Linked DNA regions of Rhinolophus ferrumequinum. Each later gene encodes a partner of the first gene's protein in a complex. Links are inferred from orthologs where the notes say so. Each region holds a gene or a part of one and is shown on either strand. Other genes may lie near its edges.

What was found. The genes of interacting proteins can lie anywhere in the genome.
Region 2: the proteins of LLGL1 (region 1) and PRKCI are in contact, whole or in part, in a cryo-EM structure (PDB 8R3Y), measured with the Homo sapiens proteins. The link is inferred for Rhinolophus ferrumequinum from reciprocal best matches to the Homo sapiens genes LLGL1 and PRKCI. Residues at the interface, in NP_004131.4 of Homo sapiens: Ala315, Asp319, Glu367, His391, Ser392, Ala394, Thr396, Glu453, Cys483, Glu484, His485, Phe506, Asp507, Pro508, Tyr509, Ser510, Asp511, Pro513, Gln518, Lys519, Lys569, Ala600, Val601, Thr602, Leu644, Gly648, Pro649, Leu650, Ser651, Arg652; in NP_002731.4 of Homo sapiens: Asp339, Met341, Gln345, Arg348, Leu381, Asp382, Met399, Thr412, Phe413, Cys414, Pro417, Leu425, Glu445, Gly449, Arg450, Ser451, Gly457, Ser458, Ser459, Asp460, Asn461, Pro462, Asp463, Asn465, Thr466, Glu467, Asp468, Tyr469, Leu470, Phe471.

What each region holds. Positions count from the first base shown.
Region 1 is NC_046304.1:636,637-647,030, forward strand, and holds the start of LLGL1 (lethal(2) giant larvae protein homolog 1), read right to left. Parts: upstream 4,769-10,394; 5' UTR 4,702-4,768; coding exon 4,621-4,701; intron 1,427-4,620; coding exon 1,329-1,426; intron 1-1,328. UniProt on the Homo sapiens protein: Cortical cytoskeleton protein found in a complex involved in maintaining cell polarity and epithelial integrity. Involved in the regulation of mitotic spindle orientation, proliferation, differentiation and tissue organization of neuroepithelial cells.
Region 2 is NC_046285.1:72,046,579-72,057,009, forward strand, and holds the start of PRKCI (protein kinase C iota type), read right to left. Parts: upstream 4,854-10,431; 5' UTR 4,558-4,853; coding exon 4,457-4,557; intron 1-4,456.

The sequences.
Region 1 (10,394 bases):
TGGAGATGGAGCTGGGATTCCCTGCAGGAGCTGGGAGAACACAGAAGAGGGGACAAAAGAGAGGGCAAGATGGCTGGGCGGGAACCAGGGTCACCTAGGAGACAGGCTAGCCTCAAGGGGGAGGGGTGGCTTCTGTGTCCAGGGCCTTCTTCTTCAGCCTCAGTTTCCCAACCCATGGCTCCAGGCCGCGGTGGTTTGGGGGAAGGAGGGAAGGGCTGGGAGAGCTCTGGCCTCCTCGGAAGCTGTCTCCCAGTCTGTACAAGAGGCTCTTTGTGAGCGCGAGCCGCCAGTGCCCAAGACAGACCAGCACACCAGGAGGGCCAGCTCAAGAGGCTGAGACGCGTGGCCTGGGGCACAGTGACACACCGACTGCAAGGACACGACACACGTGTGGGCAGAACAGCACCTCGAGGGGCAGGAGCAGCAGGCCAGGAAGTGGGTGCCCACGGGAGAAGGGGGCATCCGGCCAAGCCACAGCCCCTAAAGCAGGTAAGGTCAGCACCTGCAGGCCCAGATGCCCACTTCTGCCTGGCCAGTGCCCCCAGACAGGGGTGGGGAGACCCCCACCCCTCCCCCGCCCCTCCGCTTTATAGGCATTGACTCACTTTGTGTCAACTGATACCCCCAACGGGGACACTGAGACCCAGAGGGTCGGTCACACAGGGAGGGGTGGAGGTGGCCGTCCCTGTCCAGGGAGCCGCCAGACACACCGCACCCGGCTGCCCTGAGTGAGAGGCTTCGCTTCGGGCAGTGGGGGTGGGATGCTGCGTGGCAGGCAGGGAGGCATCAGCTGTCTGCGTGCCCCCACCCCACCCCCACCCTGCGCTCGCAGGGAAAATGCCCGCTTTGTGCAGCTCACATGGCCCATTGTGCGGCCGCCAGCATCCAGGTGGGGGCTGAGCTGCGCTCACCATGCAGAGCCTGGCACTGCCCCCAGCCCCTCTGATGAACACACGTGCCTTCACAGTCACACACGTACGAGTACCGTCCTCAGGGCAAGGCTGGCTGTGTGACCCTGGCCCACCCACCACCCTCAACAGGTGCCGTGATCAGCTAGCCCAGGCCTGGCCTCCCTAGTCAGTTGCTGGGACGATGGATCACAGGGTCGCCGAGGAAACTGGCTGGCTGAAATGCAGCAAGGGACAGCTGTGGCCACTGCAAGCTGCCCCCTCCATCTCTGGGAGGAGGTACCCCAGGGCAGAAGCTCTGGCAGCCTCTACCAGGATCCAGGCACCTACCACAGCCTCCCAGCCTGGGCCCTAAACAGCACCCAGGGAGCTGCAGGCAGGGGGTCCTTACAGCCCGAAGGCACGGTCCGCAAAGGATACATCTTGACGGCCCCAGACCTGGTGCCAATGGCCATGATGCGAAGCTCGGGGTCAAAGGCCAGGGCGCTGGGCTGGTTAGGGAAGCCATGCTCCACAGTCTGCGGGAGAGGGGAGGGCATCTGTCCAGGCACCGCTGCGCCCCGGCCTGGCCCAGCCCACCCACGGCAGCCTCAGGTTCTGCCGCGGCTGCACACTGGGACTCAAGCCGGGTCCACCTGTGCTGTGCCTGCGTCGTGAACCCCGAAACGGGCAGTCACCCTCCAGCTGGTATGGAGGGTCCGAGCCCCTGGGCCCCACCCCAGGCCAAGCCGCCGTCCCTCTCAACACCTGTTTCCACCCCACTGTGCACAGGGCCCTGGCAACAAAAAGGAAAGACAAGGTTCAAGGAGGTGCAGGCACAGAAGAGGACCCCATCTGCCTCAGGAGGTGGGGTTCTGCACCCCATTCCTACAGGCACAGACTGAAGCTTGGTGAGGCCCCATGCTGCCTGGGGTCCCCCGTGAAGTCCGTGGTGCTCCCCAAACAGCGGCCCTGTGTGGAGGTCAGAGGCCAACCCCTAAAGTCATCTAGACAGAGGTTCTAGACAACGTCCAGAAGCCACCCCAGCCCTCAGACTCAGCAACAGGGAGACTGAGGACCAGGGAGCGTCCTGCCCGGACCCGGAAGGTGTCACCCACCTCCAAGACTTGGGTTCCACAGCAGGGACTGAGGAACATGATCCCCACCCCGTCTGTGGTGGGAAGAGTGTGAAGGGGGCCTGAGCACTGGGGGTGTCAGTGGAACAGCTCCCACCCGTCCTCTGCTCCCGGCTGGGCCAGTCCCAGCACAGACCGGCCCTGACCCACCAACCTGACGTAGGCTTTCCTCCGTTGCCCACCCACCCAAGGTGCTCCCACTCATGCCCTGAAGCCAAGCTGGGGGGGCCCCTCCATGGGAAGTCTGCACCCCCAGCCCCATTCTGAATGCCAATGTGGGGTACCACCTGTGGACCACTGGAACCTCCCGACCACTGCCTCACCAAGACGCACATTTTGTAAGAAACCCTGCTTCCTGGGCCTGTGGCCCCAGCCTCCCTCCTGCCTCAGCCCATCCAGGCAGGGACTGAGCCCTCTGGACAGCTGGCTTGGCCTTGGGCTCTCACATCTGACCCTTCCCTCCCGCCACTCTCCTCCAGCTCACGACTCCAGGCTCACTGGCCTTTGGCTCTCCTCCAATTTACTAGGCAGGCCCCTGCCTCAGGGCCTTTGCATCTACTGTCCCTCTACCTGGAACGCACTTCACCCGCACTCCCCATGGCAGGCTTCTGCCCATCACTCAGGTCCGAGTTCACTCAACTCCTCAGAGGCCCCCAGAAGCCACCCTGGCCACAGCACCGTCCGCATCCACATGCTCCAGGCCATCACCCTACTTTATTTTATCCATAGCACTGGCTACCATCCAAACTGCTGCATCTTTTACTCTGTGGTTTTGCCTTTTCTCTGTCTCCCCCACTAGGACATCAGCCCCCTGAGTGAAGAGGTATGTGTCCCTTTTGGTCACTTTGGTGTCCCCAGCACCTAGAAGAACTCACACCCGGTAGGAACAGTATTTGTGGACGTCCCACAGACGATTTGTAGGCAGGGCTGGGTGTGGACAAAGTCCACGCTTGCCCCTGACCTGCCTCCCCCACTAGGGAACCTGGGGCCTATTCTCTAGTGGTCTCCCACCACCCCCTCTGGCGAGCAAGCCCCTTGCCCAGACCACCCTCTCCCAGCACTGCTGCCCACTCAGATTGGGACCTCACTCTCCTTAGGGGGAACCCTCGCCTTCTGCCAACCCAGGGCCAGCCAGGGAGACAGAACCTCCCCACCATCTGTCTCAGGTCCCCACTTCACACCCCCACTCACTGGCCGAGGAAGTGACACCTTAGCTCAGTGCCTGCCCCATCACTCTTCTCTCACCTCGCAGGGGCTCACCCTCATGGCCACCCGGCACAGGAAGGGGGGCGTCTGGGAGCACCTGGGCACCGGCCCTCCCTCTCGGCCCCGGAGGCCTCTGACAGGTTCTCGGCCACCAAGTCTGAGGCTCCTAGGAGCCCCCCACCTGCCCCAAGAGATGTCCGGGTGCCTCAGCCACTCCAGGTCCAGCTGTCCCAGAGCTCCCTCCTGGACAGGTCTCCTCGGGGACCACAGCAGCCCCTCAAAGTTAAAGTCCAAACCAACCAACAAAAGGACATAAGGAAAAAGTGCCCCAGCTCCATCTGGGACTTTGGGCAAGTCATCACCCCTCTCTGAGCCTCAGTTTCCTCACCTGCATGATGGGGAGAACAACTCAGATCCCCAAGAGCAGTGAGGACCTGTGCAATCAGAGGGCTTCGAGACCAGATCCGGCACTCTGGGAGGAGTTAGCCAGGGGCAGGCTGGGGGTTCACGCTGCCGCACATCAGTGCAGAGGGCGGCAGGGACTGACCCGCTGCTCCTACCCGGGCCCATGTGACACAGAGCCAAGGCTCACAGCAGGGAGGAAAATGGCCCCATTTCACAGTAAGGGAAACCGAGGCCCCATGATTTGCAGTGCAGTTGGGCACACAGGCCTCGGCAGGGCAGGGCAGAGTCTAAAGCTGTGGGGGAGGGAGGAGAGGAGCATGGAAGGGATTTCCCAGCCCCACCCCACCCCCAACCTCTGCCTCCTCTCCTCATCCCTCCTGCCCCGCCCGGGTGCGAAAGCAAAACAAACCCTGAACCTGGCTGCCCCAAGGGCTGCCAGGGCTATGGAAGAACCCCCAAAGAAAGAGGGATAAAGAGACAGAGGGTGAGACAGAGTGAGAGTTCCAGAGACCCCACAGACATATCGAGGGGGAGAGAGGCCGGCAGGAAAAGACAGGCAAAGACTCAAAGATGCTAAGACAGAAATGCAGAGGCAGAGAGGTGAAGGGAAACAGAGGAGACACACAGGGACAGAGGCAGACACACGGGCATACACTGAGGACAGGAAGGCGGCCACAGTCAGGGGCAGAAACCCGGAGACATGCAGAGTCAGAGCACAGAGAGAGACGCAGAGACAGGGCCACCGAGGCCCAGAGACCCGGAGACGCAGACACGGAAAGTCGGCGAGAGACCCAGACCCACCCAGTGAGCGGAGCAGGGGCGGAGGCGGGAAGTGGGGCCAGTCGAGGGGGCGCCGGGCCCCCGCGCCGCGCCCCAGCCCGGCGCCCCCTCCCCCCGGGCCCGACGTGGCTCCGGCTCCCGGGCCCCCAGCCCCAGTCCCCGGCCCGCCCCCTCCCGCCCAGCCCCGGGCGCCGCCGCCGCCGCACCTTGTTGAAGGCGAAGAGCTCCTGTTTGAGCTTCTCGCGCTGCGGGTCGGCGCCCTGCCGCCGGAACCTAAACTTCATCATCTTGCGTCCAGCTGCCGGCGCCGCGCCCGCCGCCGCCGCTGCCGCCTGCAGGATGCGCCGCGCGGCCCCGCCGGTCCTGGGGCGCGGGCGGGGCGCCAGGCGGCCCAGGCTCGGGAGCGGGGCGGGGCCTTCACGGGGGTGGGCGCCGGTCGCAATTGACGCACTGCCCGACCAATGGGCGCGTCCGAGAGCCTCCCGCCCCGCCCCTGCGGGCCAGACAATGGGGGAAGACAGGGCCCCGGTGCTCCTCCAAACTCGCGAAGGAACACCCGCTGAGCATGCGCTGAGGCGCGGAGCCTGCCGGGACTTGTAGTCTGCGAGCCAGGGCTCCAGCGCGGGCAACTGGGGGACGAGTTTGGAGCGGGTCCCCGCGCGTTCCCGAATTTGGAGGACGTTTCTTCCCTCCTCCAACGAGCGAGCGACGTGCATATTCAGGTAATGAGACAGCTCTGTCTCGAAAGCCACGAGAGTTCTGACTGGTGCAACTTTCTGGTCCTTCAGCCTCAGTTTTCCCCATAGATGCCATTGGCTCAATATTTTACCAGTTTCGTGGGACAACACTTTGACTGTTCCCCAGTGTGCCAAAACTCCTTCACCGACATGTTTTTGACATGTTTTTTGCCCTGGCTGTGTGGTCAGCCCCCGGGAAGGCCCTTCTCAGCCCCCAGCCCCTGGGGAACTCCTACACAGCCTTCAGGACCCGACATAAAAGGCTCTGTGTGGCCGCACAGGGGGTTCTTGGGAGTGCCATCAGCCAAAGTGAGGTACAGAGACCCAGCAGAGAGGAGAGGCCCTTACTCAGGAGGTGGCAGTTGGAAAGGTCCTGAGATTGGATTGTGCCTTTTCCAAGAAAGGGGAAGGGCCTCTCCTGTGCAGGGAACAGTGTATAAACAAAGCTGTACTCGGCCTCCCCTCTCTGAGGGAGAATCAACTTGTCCCCACCCATCTCTCAGACCTCCTTTTCTCATCTGGACAATGGCCTCCAGGCTGAACCTTTCCTTCCAGGATGAGGATAAGCTGCCCTGGGCTCAGGGCTGGGCAAGTCTGTGGTCCCAGAAGCTTAGGTGGGGCAGGTGGACCCGTCCCCAACCCAACCAGCTGTGTCAAGGGAGGCAAGCCTGATTTTTGACTCCCAGAGACAGCTGCCAACCAACAGGGGCCTGGCTGCCCTCTCCACCCACGTCAGCCCTGCTCAGCCCCTCCCCGATTGGAGCTGGATCTGGAAGAGGGGTGGGTGGGGGTAAGGATGGTGAGAGGAGGGGAAAATGTTAGAAACAACAAAGCTTGAGTGCCTAATGTGTGGCAGGCACTATTCAAAACCCTTTCCTGATTTCAACTGATTTAATGCTCTCAACAGTTCTGTGAGGGAAACAATATTATCCCAGTGCTACAGATGAGGAAGCTGAGATAAATGGGCAAAAGCAAGAGCAGCTTTGACCTGAGTTGTGGGCAGAGCTGGCTGGACAGCGGCGTCAAACTCCTTGGGCCAGTGCCCATCCCACACCCAGCACCGGCAGCTCAGGCAGCTCTGACACCTGGGTTCTGGTCCCTGTCCTGACATCCACTGGCTGAGTGACAAGGCCTGAGCCCCAGTTGCTTCTTCCACAAAATGACGGCCTCACACAGAGAAGCGTTAGGAATTTGTTAATTCATATCCCAATTCACCACTTAGAAGCTGTGCAGCCTGGAGCAAGTTACTTAAGCTCTCTGTGCCTCATCTGTAAAAATGTGGATAATACTAGTACCTACCTCAAAGGGTTATTGTGAAGATGAAATTAATTACTACTTGTAAAGCCCTCAGAATGTGTCGGGCAAACAGGAAGAGCTACGTGTTAGCTGTTATTAGAGTTCTTACTACTCGCTATTTGAGTTCTTCTCCTCTATCATCCGGGGCCAGTCCCAGCCTTTCCCCAGTCTCCATTCTTTGAAATGGGACTTAGTCATCAGTCAGTAAGCAACCATGCCATCCCCACCCCACCCCCAACCCATGTACACCCAGCGCACAGTCTAGGGGGTGAGACAGAGCTGGGTGGAGACCACAAGCACCAGGGGTGCACTGTGCTGTGATGGGGCAACGTATGGGGGCTGTGGGAGCCCAGCAGAGGCATCTGACCCCGGGCAGGTGTCCTGCAGGGAGAGGGCACAATTCAAGCTAGGCTGTAACAGGTAGAGAGGGCTGGAAGGCAGACAGACAAGGGTCCCTGGCAGGCAGGCGTTCTCAAATTGGCAGAACTCCACCCCCCAACCCACACACTTGTTAACAAGATAGTTCTACGTTCACCAAATGTGAATGCCTGTGGAGCCCCAGAATCTGGATTTTAAACCAGGCATTTCCCAGGTGACTCTGAGGCCCAGCTTGCCCCAACCCAGTCCAACTGAAGGGGGCTAAACGGGTACACTGAGGCACCAATGGGTAACCTGAGACCTGGGCAGACAGGCCCAGCCCATCCACACAGCCAGGCAGGGTTTAGGAATGGCACTGGGGAGGGGACCGTCTCCCAGCCTGGAGGGTCTGGGGCACTAATGACCGCCTCCCCTTGCCCTGGAGCTGGGGCAGCCCAGGCCTATGATTACTAGGGTAGCCCAAGGCAGCAGGGTCAGACCGCCAAGCCAAGTCTGCTCATTGCTCGAAGCAGGACACTAAGGCTCAGGGGAGCCCAAGCAAGGGTGTGGACGCAGGGTCTTCAGTGCTTTCAGGCGCCCCACACCTATCCTGGGAGATGGAGTCAGACAGGAGGGCACCTGAGTCAGTAGCACTGGAAGGAAAGCTGGTCCCTCCTTCAGACTCAGGTCAACCTTGGGCCAGGGAGGAACTGCTGCCTTTTCAGCATTTCCTGGCTGGGATGGCCTCTCCCTCCCCCTTCCTCCTAGGCCACCCCAGCGTCCTCACCTAGCTCTGAGGTGGGACCAGGTCTGACTTCAAATCCCAAGACATCCCCATGCTGGCTGGGTGACTTCAGCTAAGCCAGTTGTCCACCGTGGGCCTCAGTTTTCTCATCTGTAAAATGTAGTAAGAACTAAAGGAGATGATTCAAAACAGGAGTTGAGCACAGGGCCCTGCAGGGTCTGTACCTAGTAAGCCAACTTTCAGGACTCTTGCTCTAGGACATGCAGGCTGCCTCATCATTCTTCAAATGTACCAGATAAGCTTCTTCTGCCTCAGGACCTTTGCACATGCCGTTCCCTTCCCTGGAACGCTTTGTCCCCAGGTTTTCACATAGCCGAATCCCTTTTGGTCCTGGCTTAAATGACACTTGCTCCCAGAAGCCTCCCTGACCTATTTCCCCCATTCTGGATGCTCTCCTCTGCCTGGTTCTCTCTGACTTCCTCTTTTTTCTCCAGCCTGAGAATGAACTCCCTGGGTTTAGGTTTTTAATACTGTTCATTGCAGTGTCCCAGTGCTTAGAACAGTGTCTGGGACATAGTAGGTACTCAACACAGTTTGAAAAAATATACATATAGAATTTTTAAAAAACATCTGAAGCAAATATGATAAAATGTTAATGTGGGCAGATGGTGAGTGCTTGGTGGCTTCTATGTTACTTTAAGTATTTTTCAGTGCCTTTGAAGTATTTCATTAACTGCCCCCCCCACCCCATACACACACAAATAATCCACACAGTTTAGGAAACAAGTCCACAGGAAGTGGTGGTTGAAGGGATGTGGCAGGGAGCAGGTGGGTGAGTAGGGGTGTCCCTGAGCCAGGCTGGCATGCATCGAGGGTAACCTCAGAGGCAGGCACCCCAGGAAATGTGGTATCTGTGCTTTCTCTCTGAGTCCTTGCAACGGCACTGGAAGTAGATACAAGGATGATCCCACTTTACAGACAGTAAATGGAAGCTAAGAGCAGAGAAGTGACTTGCCCAAAGTCACCTGTGAAGGGAAGGAGAGGAGAAGGGGAGACAAGGGGAAAGCCCCAAATGGAGGCAGAGTGGGGGCAGCAAGGGAGTGCAAGAACCAGGAGAGCCTGGCTGAGGAAGCTGGGCCCTGCCTCCCAGGACCTGGCCCAGATCCGCGCTGAGGCCGCAGCCCTCCTCTGATGCCCGAACCACACAAGCAGCTTCTTCCGGGTGCCTCCCCAGGGGCCTGGCAGACTGGAGGCAGGGCGGGAGCAGGCAGAGCCTGGGATGGGAGGAAATGAGGCAGAAAGAAGCGGGGTGTTTGGGGACTGGCTGGAAGACCACTAGGGAGCCCGAGCCAGTGGCAAGGGGTGAGCCCCTCATCCTGTGTGGTGTGCTAAGTGAAGCTGGATCTAAGGGCGCTCTTTAGGGCCCAGAGAGGGGAGGTGGCAGTGGACCTGGGGCCCTCAGTCCACAGGGTGAACAGTGTGCTGGCCTCAGTGAAAGAAAAGCCAAACAGGTAGCAGGAGTGTTTGGCAGATACCGCCTGTCCTCATGTTATAAGGGAGGAAACTGAGGCTCAGAGAGAAGTGACATGGGGGATAATACAACGGTCTCTAGACCTCCAGCCCAGTGGTCCTTCTCTGGGTGCCAGGAGTCTCACCCCTGACACTCGCCCTGAGCTGGGATCTGTGCTGTGCTTTCCTTGGCTCACGCTGGCACAAGGACCTGGGGATTCGGGTGCACCTGCCCCCCACAGGGAGTGTCAGGTTTGAGGCTACAGGGGCTGAGCAGGTGGGCATTGTCACAAGCCTGTTGGAAGGTGGGGTTCTGGGCTTCATTCCTCTCCGTGGTCTCAAGTTCTAATCCTGCCTCTGCCACTTCATCTTTCAGGGCCTCAGTTTACTCATCTGCAAAAAGGGGGTGAATAGTAATTGCTACCATTTAACGACACTAAGCACTTAGTCGGTGCCAGGCACCTGGTCATTCCTTTAATCCTATGCCCATTTTACCACGGAAGAAACCAAGGTCAGAGAGGTTAAGTAATTTGTCCCAAGTCACACAGCTAGTATGTGGCAGAGTCAGGATTTGAACCCAAGCCCCAAAGTGAGGAACGGTATTAGAGGGTGCAGAGAGAATTCAATGAGACCATTTGTAAAGGGCCTCCCTCACAATGCGAGTCCAGGAGAGGGTGGGGCTTAGGTCCTAGTAGCTCAGCCTGGAGAAGCACTGGGACCACGCAGTACATTCTGTGCTGAGGGAAGCTGGGGTTTGGGAAGCATCAAGGCAGCCCTGAGGAAACTGGGTGAACCGAGGTGGCTTCCAGCAGGAGCCTAAGGCAGAAGGCACTGGCACGCTCAAGGATGAGGCGAGAATGTCCCGGGGAGCGGTGGCCCCTCTGCCTAACTAACCCTGAGGGTCCTGGATAAGCAGGGCAGAGGCAGTGGGGGACCTAAATTCTTGCTTCTGGGGCCTCAGCTCCCCATTTAAACCAAAGGACAGGGGTCCCCTGCACCATTCGGAAGCACCATCGCTCCGATTCTGCTGCCCCCCTGTGGGCACCGGGGAGAACTGCACCAATGAGCACCCTGGAACCTAACAGGGGGACACCAGCCCCACAGTGCCCAACACTGGCTCCAACCCCGCCCAGCCTGGCCCCCAGCCCGTCCTTTCGGTGCAATGGCTTCCTTATTGACGATTGGCTGTCCTTGACACAGCAGCACGAGGGATTCTAAGTCTGATCATGACCTCCTCTGTTCTTCACGAGAAGCCACTCGCAAGAATCAACTGTCAAATTTTAAGAATTTTGAGTCAGTTGTTAAAACACAGCCATTATTAAAAATTAAATTATAT
Region 2 (10,431 bases), on another chromosome or scaffold:
CCATACTGGTTCCAAGAGCGATCTGTCTGAAATGAAAATCTGTCTGTCTCTTACTTAAAACCTTCACCAAAGAAAAAAGTCTGAAGCAAGAGTCTTCAAAGACTAGTGCCTGTGAACCTTCTTAATACCTCACTTCTCATCAGTGCCCACTTCATGCTTATGTACTAATAAGGAATGCACATGGGTCTAAACAACTAAACTGATTTTAATTCCCCAAACAGAACACACAGCTGTGCAAGGCCTGGAACCATGCCCCACCCAACACCACCCCCACCAACAAACCTACTTATCCTCTAAAAGGCCTCAGACATTTCATCCTCCAGGAAGGCTTCCCTCACCCCTTCTCTCCAGTATCCATCCCTGCAGTGACACTGACACACACGCACACGCGCACACACACACACCTCTCTACCTTTATTAACTCTTCCATGTCTTTGCTCCTACAAATCTCTTACATCCTCAAGGGCAGAGCCTTCTATTAATCCACCTCCACACCCTCTGTACCCACCCCAGCACCAAGTGCCTGGCCTGTCGTAGGTGTTCAACAATATTTATTAAACTGAGTTTAAACACACTTAAGTAATATGTGATAGCCTAAGCAAGACTGGAATTTTAAAAATTCATGTTTTAATTAGGCTCATGTCAACCACAGAAAAACGGACACTCAAGTTATCTTAAAAAGCGGGCTGGGAGTTGAAAGCTATCCCGGACCTCTGAGGAGAATTTTTCCGTGGAGAGCTAGCTACTTCTTTCTCCTCCGCGTCCTCAGACCTTCCCTCTGCACAGGGGCGGTCCTGGCCTTACCAGCTTCTCCCTCAACTCTTCAGCTTCAGTCCTCACAGCTAACAAGCAATTTATCTCCATATTATCCCATTCAGATTTCTAAGAGGGCTGTTTTGGTTTGGTTTTTAGCACAAGGCCACAATGCCCTTTCTCTCCGCTAAAGCTATGGATCAGTGCCCTGTGGTTAGGTGCTATGTCAGAAGCTCTAGCACCAATAACTAACATTCCCCCAATTCTCAACTCAATATATTATTTGTATTTCCTTAGAACCATTACTAAAGTATATCACTAAAATTATTTTGCAATGCTTTTAAAAACAAGTCTTGCCAAGACTTGTTAACAGTGAAAAAAAAAAATCCTGCCTAAATATTTCTTCACTGAACCAGCTATACATTCCAAATGTGCAGGAGTTAATGTTTTTATTTGTACGTTTGCACAGAAAAAATCCTCTGGGTTGCTATAATTGCTCAACAGCCTTGGTTTAAAAAGCATTTTTTTACAAGCTTTCTGCAAAATTTCCCATACACTTACAATGTAAAGAAATGAGTAGTTGAGACATTTGTTAAATTCTATCCCATAATATTAAGCAACTTTATATAAGGATAATCACACACAATGGCAATCTATCAGGAACCAACAAAACTTGTTTCTCTTCCTCCAAACTAACACGACTAGGTAATGATTGAAGAAGGAAGGCCGCTCACTGACAAGCTACCGTGGCGAGGAAAGAGGGGTACAGGCTGTGACAAAGGCACTCTTAGACGGTCTCCAATAAAATCAGATCCTCAGTGCGAGTATTAAACTCCTACTAAAAAACTAGGAAAAAAATCTAATTAAATGTCTGCTATACCTAGGGAGACACCACATTTGCAATAAAAACAAATTTAACAGAAATATAACTTTATACACATCTTTGAAAGGAGAAGGCAATTTATTCACTAAAAAATGCTGCTATTCCGAGGTTCAACATTCACTGGAAAGAAATATTGTTAGCAGTGTATAAGGAGAAAGCTCTCTGATAATGGCCATTCAGAAGAGCTAACGAAAAGAAACTTTTTCCAACGCAGACTGTCCTTCCATTACTTGATGTAAAGGAAAGATTTTCTATTTTAAAATCAGGTAGGTGTTCTAGTTAGCCAACCTGTTTATTCACTATCCTCACTGGTGACTCATTTTAGTTTCATCTGCAGTAATGAGCAGCTGACTGTGTCATATCGTACCCATCAGTTTAGACCACTGTTAATAAACATATAATCTTAACAGATCTAATTTCAGAGGACAGAAATTGGTACAATTTAGAGTGCTGATGCTGTCTTTAAGTGAGGCCCGAGATGAAGGCACTATTAGAAAGCTTTCATTGAATTAAAGGCACTACAGAGCAAGGGGTTCTTTCATTCCTTAGCAAAAATTCATAGGTTTTAAAAAACAAAGAAAATGTTAACTTTAATGTCTTGGAGAAATTTTAGTCAAGCACTAAAAGGGTTATTATCTCCTTATTCCTTTTTAAATAATTGGAGCAATGAGCCAAGAAAATATGATAATGCATTCCTGAAATATACCAGGCTTTGATTTCTTTCCAAAGGAGAAACTTACAATGATTTTAATTTATTAATTAGGCCTATTTACAATTGTCAAATTAATAAAAATGGGAACAAAACAAAGAGGCACTAGTTTCTTCATCTTTCATAGTTGGAATCACTAGAAACTATCTAAATTTAATAAGTCAAGAATTTATATTACTTAAAGTCATGAAGGTAAACTGGAAAACTAAAAATAATAGCTTAACAATCAAAAATTGAGAGGCACCAGGAGGAGAAAAAGCAAAAGGCTGTGTGCACCCAATTTCTCATCTTTCAGAGTATCAACAGATACTATCTAAAGTTGATATATCACAAAACAGAAGTATAACTTTTAAAGTAATAAAGGCAACCTCCAGAAGAACCAGAAATAAACTGTCAATAGTAGTTACCTCTGGAGTTTGGGAGGATGAGGTGGGGAATACTTTTTATTTTATACCTCTGTACAATTTGCACTTTCCTACCATCTGTGTACACGTATATTCATTTTTCAATCTAGTTTTTAAATTGTCAATAATCAGACACTTTAAAAAAAGAAAAAAAAGAACATGTACTGTATTTCATTCTCTGTACCTAACAACTCATGGACTGTCAACTTTATAAAATGGAACATATTCTAAAGTGAAATATCTCATCTATCAAATAAAAGTTAAGCTAAAGGGAGGAAAGCTTTTTTCCCCATAGTGCAAAGTTCATAGCTTACCATCCTTAATCAAAACAGCTCTGTGACAACTACAAACTTTTTAAAAACCTACACACACTTCTTGGTACTGTTTTAAAATCAAGACCTCCTTGACCAATTTAAGCAAAATCACTGATACTGTCCAAAAGATCTCCTGTAAACTACTCCTGAATGCAGTCAAGCTAACACAGAGGTCAGAGGCTTCATGGAGCAAACACACTAAACCAGTATGTCCTTACATCAAATCAATACGACATTTAGGGACTTATATTTTCTTTGAAATCAAAAACAGAGGCATTTTGAAAGTTTGCTATCTTCACTGATACTCTCAGGAATGTAAAAGTATGCATTGCAGTTTCAACCTCCTAGTGCTTGAGTTTTTTTTTAAAGCAATTTACTTCTGCTTCGACAAGCACTAAGACAGGCCAAAGCTGTTGGGTTTTCTGTTAACCCTTAGTTTCAAACTTTTAGGCTCACAATAGCATTTCACTGTTCTAATGCTCCTAAATATAATTACCCCAAAGAAATTTCAAACCACAACTGAATTCAAGGGAAGGGGGGCACTTCACTGATCATGGAATATGACTGAACATAATGATCTCAGGACTGGATTATTTCTGGTAACCACAAGAGTTATAACTTAGGCAATAAATAACATGAGTAAAGATCACAGATTTTCAAGCTTTGCCTAGGCTCATCCTCTTCTCACCTTGCATTATCTCACCCTATGGGACCATCCTTGAAGCCACAATGACAAAGAAGTATTCACAAAATTTTACTTTACACGTACACATCTAATCTTGGAGAAACATAAGTACGTAAGGTACATCCCTGAAAACACATCAACTTCACTCTTAAATAGTAACTCGTATGTCTAATTTACTGGCAGCTTGACCACAGTCCAGATACACTTCGTGAATTCTTACAGGTGATGAAGATAAACCTGACTTGGAGAACCCAAGGCTTTAGGCCTGCTGGAAATCAAAAGGGCAGCAAACTGAAGCAGTCCTGCCGTTTAAGCCCATAGCAACTTAAGTTAACTGAGGCATCACTTGGAATCAACTCTCACAACCCCAAATACATCCAGACCTAATGACGTAAACCCTTGTAAATTTCTTAGTAGGCGAGTCTCGCGAACCCACCAGGTGGACCTACTCTATTTCAAGGCTCCTCCTGCGGACTCTACTCTGGACAGTCAGCCACGCGATTCCCGGGTGCCCTGCACCACACCTTGGGGGTGCCCCGATCCAGCGCCCCATGCTCCTCCCCCGACCACTCGGTCACCCATCCCGAGTCCTCAGAGTCGCCCTCTCAGATCAACCCTCCACAACATCTCTCCCTCACCCACCCCTCCGCCAGGCCAAATCCAGCTGGCCCTCCCCCTCCCCTCCTACCCGTACCCCCAGACACTCACCCGCGGTAGTAAGCTTTCACCCGGACCTGGTGAGAATGGTCCCCGCTGCCGCCGCCTGTGATCGGGTGAGACATGGTAGTGCTGTCTCTCTGGGTCGGCATCTCCTTACTCCCCCGCCTCAACGCCGGAGGCCGAGGGTGCCTGGGGCGCGCCGGGGGGCTCCGCTGCTCGAGCCTCTCCCAGAGCCGCGGCAGTCCGCTCCCCTACCTGTTCTCCTCGCCCGCGGCGCCGACCCAAGGGTCGCCTCGCCCGGGCAGCCGGAACCGCGCGGCTCCTCCCACTGCCCACAGCCGCCACCGCCTCTACAGCCGCCCGGGCCCAGCACGCCTCCCTGCCTCCGGCCCTCCCACCTCGCTCGCTCCAAAGGCCCACATTCCGCGGGAGGGCGGGCACTACCACCTATCCAACTCAAGGAGCCTCAATGCCCGGCTGAACCATTCTTACGGAGGGCAAGGAAAAAGGGGGAGAGAGAATGGGAGACGCTGATGCTCACATCAAATACGCCGGGAGGGAGGTTTTCGTGGAATCTGTGACTGAGAGAATGCGACGGTTCGAGTAACTATAGTTCTGTAAAAAGCCCCCTCCCTATAGGGAAAATGGTAGGGGACAAGTGCTGCGGCATCTCACCCCAGTTTCCTAACTTGGTCGCGTCCGCGGCCAGCCGATTTGGGATTCGGCTAGATTTGCTGTGTGGGTTTCTGGGATTTGGAGTCCCCGGGGGATTCTGGGACTTGAGGTTCCTTACGTATGGAACGCCCCGCCTTCTCTCTGACAGTGTCTCCAGGTTGCGCCCCAGGAACTGTTGGCGTGGAAATCCTGAATCCAGCTTGGGCATCTGAGGTCACTGGAAATGACTGGGCTTCGTCACGATCTAGACTTTGTTCTCTGATGAATTCTCCCTTCCAATTGCATAAATCATCTCAATTATACAATGCCTTTTTTGGCAATACAAATTTGGTTACCTGTTTAGCATAGACTCTTTTATGGAAACAATTAAATAATGTAACAAATGTAATAAAGGTGGAAACTCAACCAGAAGATGCGATGGAAGACTGATTTTTCTTCCTTCGTGGCCCCCATATCTGCGCCCTTGTATGTTGCCATTGCATGGAACAAGTGTACGATGAATATTTATGCCTGCGGCCATCCATCCATCCATCCATCCATCAGCATTGTTTCTGTTAACACAGGCTAACCAAGGATTATAAAAAATCTATCCTTGTAGCGTAGTCCCTGCCTTTCCACTGGTCTTGGCTCCATCACACACTGCAATTAGACGTAGCATGAATCCAGCCCCTGCGTCAGTCTTGGTACCAACCCATGCTAAAAGGGTGGAATAATTAACGAAATAACTGTCTTTGCTATGATAAAATAGGCTTATGGGATTGACTCATCAGAGATATTTGTGACAGTTAACCTGGTATAATGTTCTTCAACTGCTACAAACTTGGATTATATGCTCTTAATAAAAGTCCCCACTGAAATTCTCCCTTGGTAACAGGATTTTTGGCACTTGGGGACCTCCATCAGCATATTAAATATGAATCAGTTAGCTATGAAATATAAACTATTTCTAAAATGAGATTGTGAAATTTTAGTTGGACTAATGGAAAAGTTGGTATGCTTGTGACATTATGAAATTTTAAACATTATATGCTCTAAAAAAGGAAATTTTTGCTATATGGGAAGTGAGACTTTAGAAAGGTAAGGCATGAAACCGTTTTATTTTGGATACTGATTCCTTAGCAGTTTGAAAAATCCTTTATCATTGGCCTTATAGCATCCTTTGAAGGTAACCATTCTCTCAGAAAAGGCTTATTGTTTACTTTGTCGTCAAAAAGAATCTATAAATATTTATAGTTTGCTTCATCCCACCATATAAATAAGTTTTCTTTTTCTGAATGATGAAAGCTTTTAGTTGTGATTATCAAGCAAAGCATGACCATAATTTTTTAACAGCATTATTGAGGTATAATTCACATACCATACAAGTTGTCCATTCAAAGTATATAATTCAATAATTTTTAGTGTATTCACAAAGTTATGCAATCATCTCCACTATCTAATATCAGACCATTTCCATCCCCCCAAAAGGAAACTATACATTCATTAGCAGTAACTCCCCACTCTCTTTAGCCTCTGGTAACCACTAGTGTATTTCTTGTCGCTACGGATTTTTCTATTCTGGCCGTTTCATATAAATGGAATCATACAATGTGTGGACTTTTGTGTCTGGCTTCTTTAGCTTAGCTTAATGTTTTCGAGATTCATCCATGTTGTATCATATATCAGTTCTGCATTCCCATATGTGGCTAAATACTATTTCATTGTATAAACATTCTACATTAACGATGCTATGAACATTCATATATAAGTTTTTGTGTGAAATATGTTTTTAATTCTCTTGGGCATATACGTAAGAGTAGAATTGCTGAGTCATACGGTGGCTCTATGTTTAATATCTTAAGGGAATGCCAAACTGTTTTCCAAAGTGACCGCACCATTTTACATTTGTACTAGCCTTGTATGAGGGGTCCAATTTCTTTACATCCTCACCAACACTTGTTATGGACTGTGTTCTTTGTTATAACCACCCCAGTGGTTGTGAAAGTGGTATCTCATTGTGATTTTGATTTGCATTTCCTTAATGATTAACGATGTTGAATCTTTTCATTTTTTATTGTCCATTTGTATATTTCCTTTGGAGAAATGTCTATTTAAATCCTTTGGCCATTTTTAAGTTGGGTGCCCTATGTCTTTTTATTGAGTTGTAAGAGTTCTCTATATATTGTGGAAATAAGTCCCTTTTTAGATGATTGCAAATATTATCTATTCTGTGCATTGTTTTTCCATTTTCTTGAGTGTATCATCTGCAGCACGATAGTTTTTAATTTTGATGAAGTCAGATGTATCTATTTTGTTGTTGCTGCTTATGCTTTCTGTGTCGTGTCTAAAAAGGCTTTGACTAACCGAAGGTCATGAAGATTTTACAATGAGTTTTCTTCTAAGACTTTTATAGTTTAAACTCTTATGTTTAGGTTTATGATCCATATTGAGTTAATTTTTGTGTGTAATATAAGTGGTCCAGATTCATTTCTTTGCATATGGATATCCAGTTATCCCAGTGCCATTTGTTGAAAAGCCTATTCTTTCCCCATGTAATTGTCTTGCACCCTTGTCAAAAATCAATTGACCAAAATGTAAGCGTTTATTTCTGAACTCTTTGATTCTATTCCATTGATCTATATAGCTATCCCTAATACAAAAATCACAGTTTTCATTACTGTAGTTTTGTAGTAAATTTTAAACAGAGAAATTTGAGTTTTACAACTTTATCTTTTTTAAGATCGTTTTGACTATTCTGGGTCTCTTACATTTCCGTATAAATTTTAGGATCGATTTGTCAATTACTTCAAACTAGTCAGTTGGGATTTTGATAGGGGTTGTGTTGAACCTGTAGAGCAGCGTGTGGAGTATTGTCATATCAACCGTATATATAGCCTTCCAAGCCATGAACACATAATGTCTTTTCCATTTATTTAGATCTTTAATTTCTTTCAACAATGCTTTGTGGTTTGCATAGTGTGATTTGCATTTCTTTTGTTAAAATTATTCCTAAGTATTTTATTCTTTTTGATGCTATTATAAATGGAATTGTTTTCTTAATTTCATTTTTTTAACTTTTTCATTCTATTATTCTAAATGAGCATTCTAAATGCCTGGAATCCTGAAATGTTTGAGAAATAATTACTTAAAAGTGTGTTAATTTCATGAAGTTTTAGAATTTTATTTCACCTATCAATACAGACACTGGTGGCTTTTAGCTCTGACTACACATAGGAATCACTGAGGAGCTTTTTATAAGCTATTTTGGTGGTAGTGGGAGGGTATCCCAGATCAATTGAAACAGAACCTAAGGGGGATGTCCTGGGGGATTTCTTTCCTTCCTTTCTTCCTTCCTTCCTTCCTTCCTTCCTTCCTTCCTTCCTTCCTTCCTTCCTTCCTTCCTTTCTTTCTTCTTTTAATTGACATATAAAAGACATATAATATTAGTTTCAGGTGTACAACATGATTCGACATATTTTGCAAAATTATCACCACAATAAGTCCAGTTAACATCCATCACTACACAGTTACAAATTTTTTTTCTTGTGATGAACACTTTAAAGATTTACTCTCTTAGCCACTTTCAAATATGTAATACAGTATGAGCTCTAATCATCATGCTGTGCATTACATCCCCAGGACTAATCTTGTCTCTGGAAGTTTGTACCTTTTCACCACCTTTACTAATTTCTTCCACCCTCCACCCTTCACCTCTAGCAACCACCAATCTGTTCTCTGTATCTGTGAGTTTGGCTTGTTTTGTTCTGTTTTGTGTTTGTGTTTTAGATTCCACTGTAAGGGCAATCATAGGGTATTTGCCTTTCTCTGACTTATTTCATTTAGCCTAAAGTCCTTAGGTCCATTCACATTGTCACAAATTGCAGGATATTTTTTAATGGCTGAATAATATTCTTTTGTGTGTGTATTTACATATATATATATACACACACACACACACACATATATACATATATATGTATATATATATGTGTGTGTGTATATATATATGTATATATATATACATATGTACATATATACATATCATATTTTCTTTATCCATTCAACCATTAATGGACACTTAGGTTGTTTCCATGTCTTGGCAATTGTAAACAATGCTAAAAGAACATGGTGCAGATATCTTTTTGAGTTGTGTTTTTGTTTTCTTTGAGTAATTACCCAGAAGTGGAATAGCTAGAGCATATGATAGTTTTATTTTTAATTTTTTGAGGAACCTCTATACTGTATTTCATAGTGGCTACATCAATTACATTCCCATCCTAATTTCATTTTTAATTATTCATTGCTAGTGTACAGAAATGCAATTAATTTTGCATATACCTTGTATCCTACAAGCTTGCTGAACTCATTTATTAGTTTTAATAGTGTTTTTAGTTTTAATAGGGAATTCCTTAGAATTTCCTATATGTAAGATTTTGCCATTTTAGAATACAGATTGATTTACATCTTTCTTTCCAATCTGGATGCCTTTTATTTCCTTTTTTTTACCTGATTGCCTTAGCTAGAACCTGTAGTACTATGTTGAATAAAGAGGAGAGTGTGAACATCTTTGTCTTATTTTCAATTTTATATGATAGTTTTCAGTCTTTGGCGATTAAATGTGATGATTATTTTAGTTTTTTGGGGTTGTTTATTTGTTTTTGTTTTTGTTTTTGGGGGGTTTTTTTTGCAGATACCCTTTATCAGGTTGAGGAAGTTCCATTCTATTTCTAGTTTGTTGACTATTTTTCTTATGAAAGGGTGTTGGGTTTTGTTTAGTTCTTTTTCTGTGTCTATTGAGATAATCATGTGGTTTTGTCCCTTATTCTATTGATACGGTATGCTACATTAGTTGTTTTTTTTTTAATGTAAGCTAACCTTTCTTCCTGGGACAAATCCCACTAGGTTGGGATATATAGTCATTTTTATATGTTGTTATATTCAGTTTGATAAAATGACATTGAGGAATTTTGAGTTTATATTCATAAGCATGGTTTCCTTTAGTTCTCTGAACATATTTATAATAGCTGCTATGAAGTCTTTGTCTGCTAAGTCCAACATCTGTGTCCTCTCAAAGGCAGTTTCTGTGTGGATGAGTCCCATTTGTCTGTTTCTTTGTATGCCTTATAATTTTTTGGTTGCAAACTGTACATTTCCATTATAGCAACTCTAGAGATTGATCCAGACTGGTTCTAGAGCTTGTTATTTCTGTTGTTGTTTGCTTGTTTATTTGTTTAGTGAGTTGGCCACATCAATTCAGTGAAGTCTATTTCCTGCACAATGTGCAGCCTCTGAGGTCCCTCTTCAGAGGGTACAGCTTTGGCAGGTACATTGTCATCCTGACTCCTTCTTAGGATGGCAGTGGTTTTAGT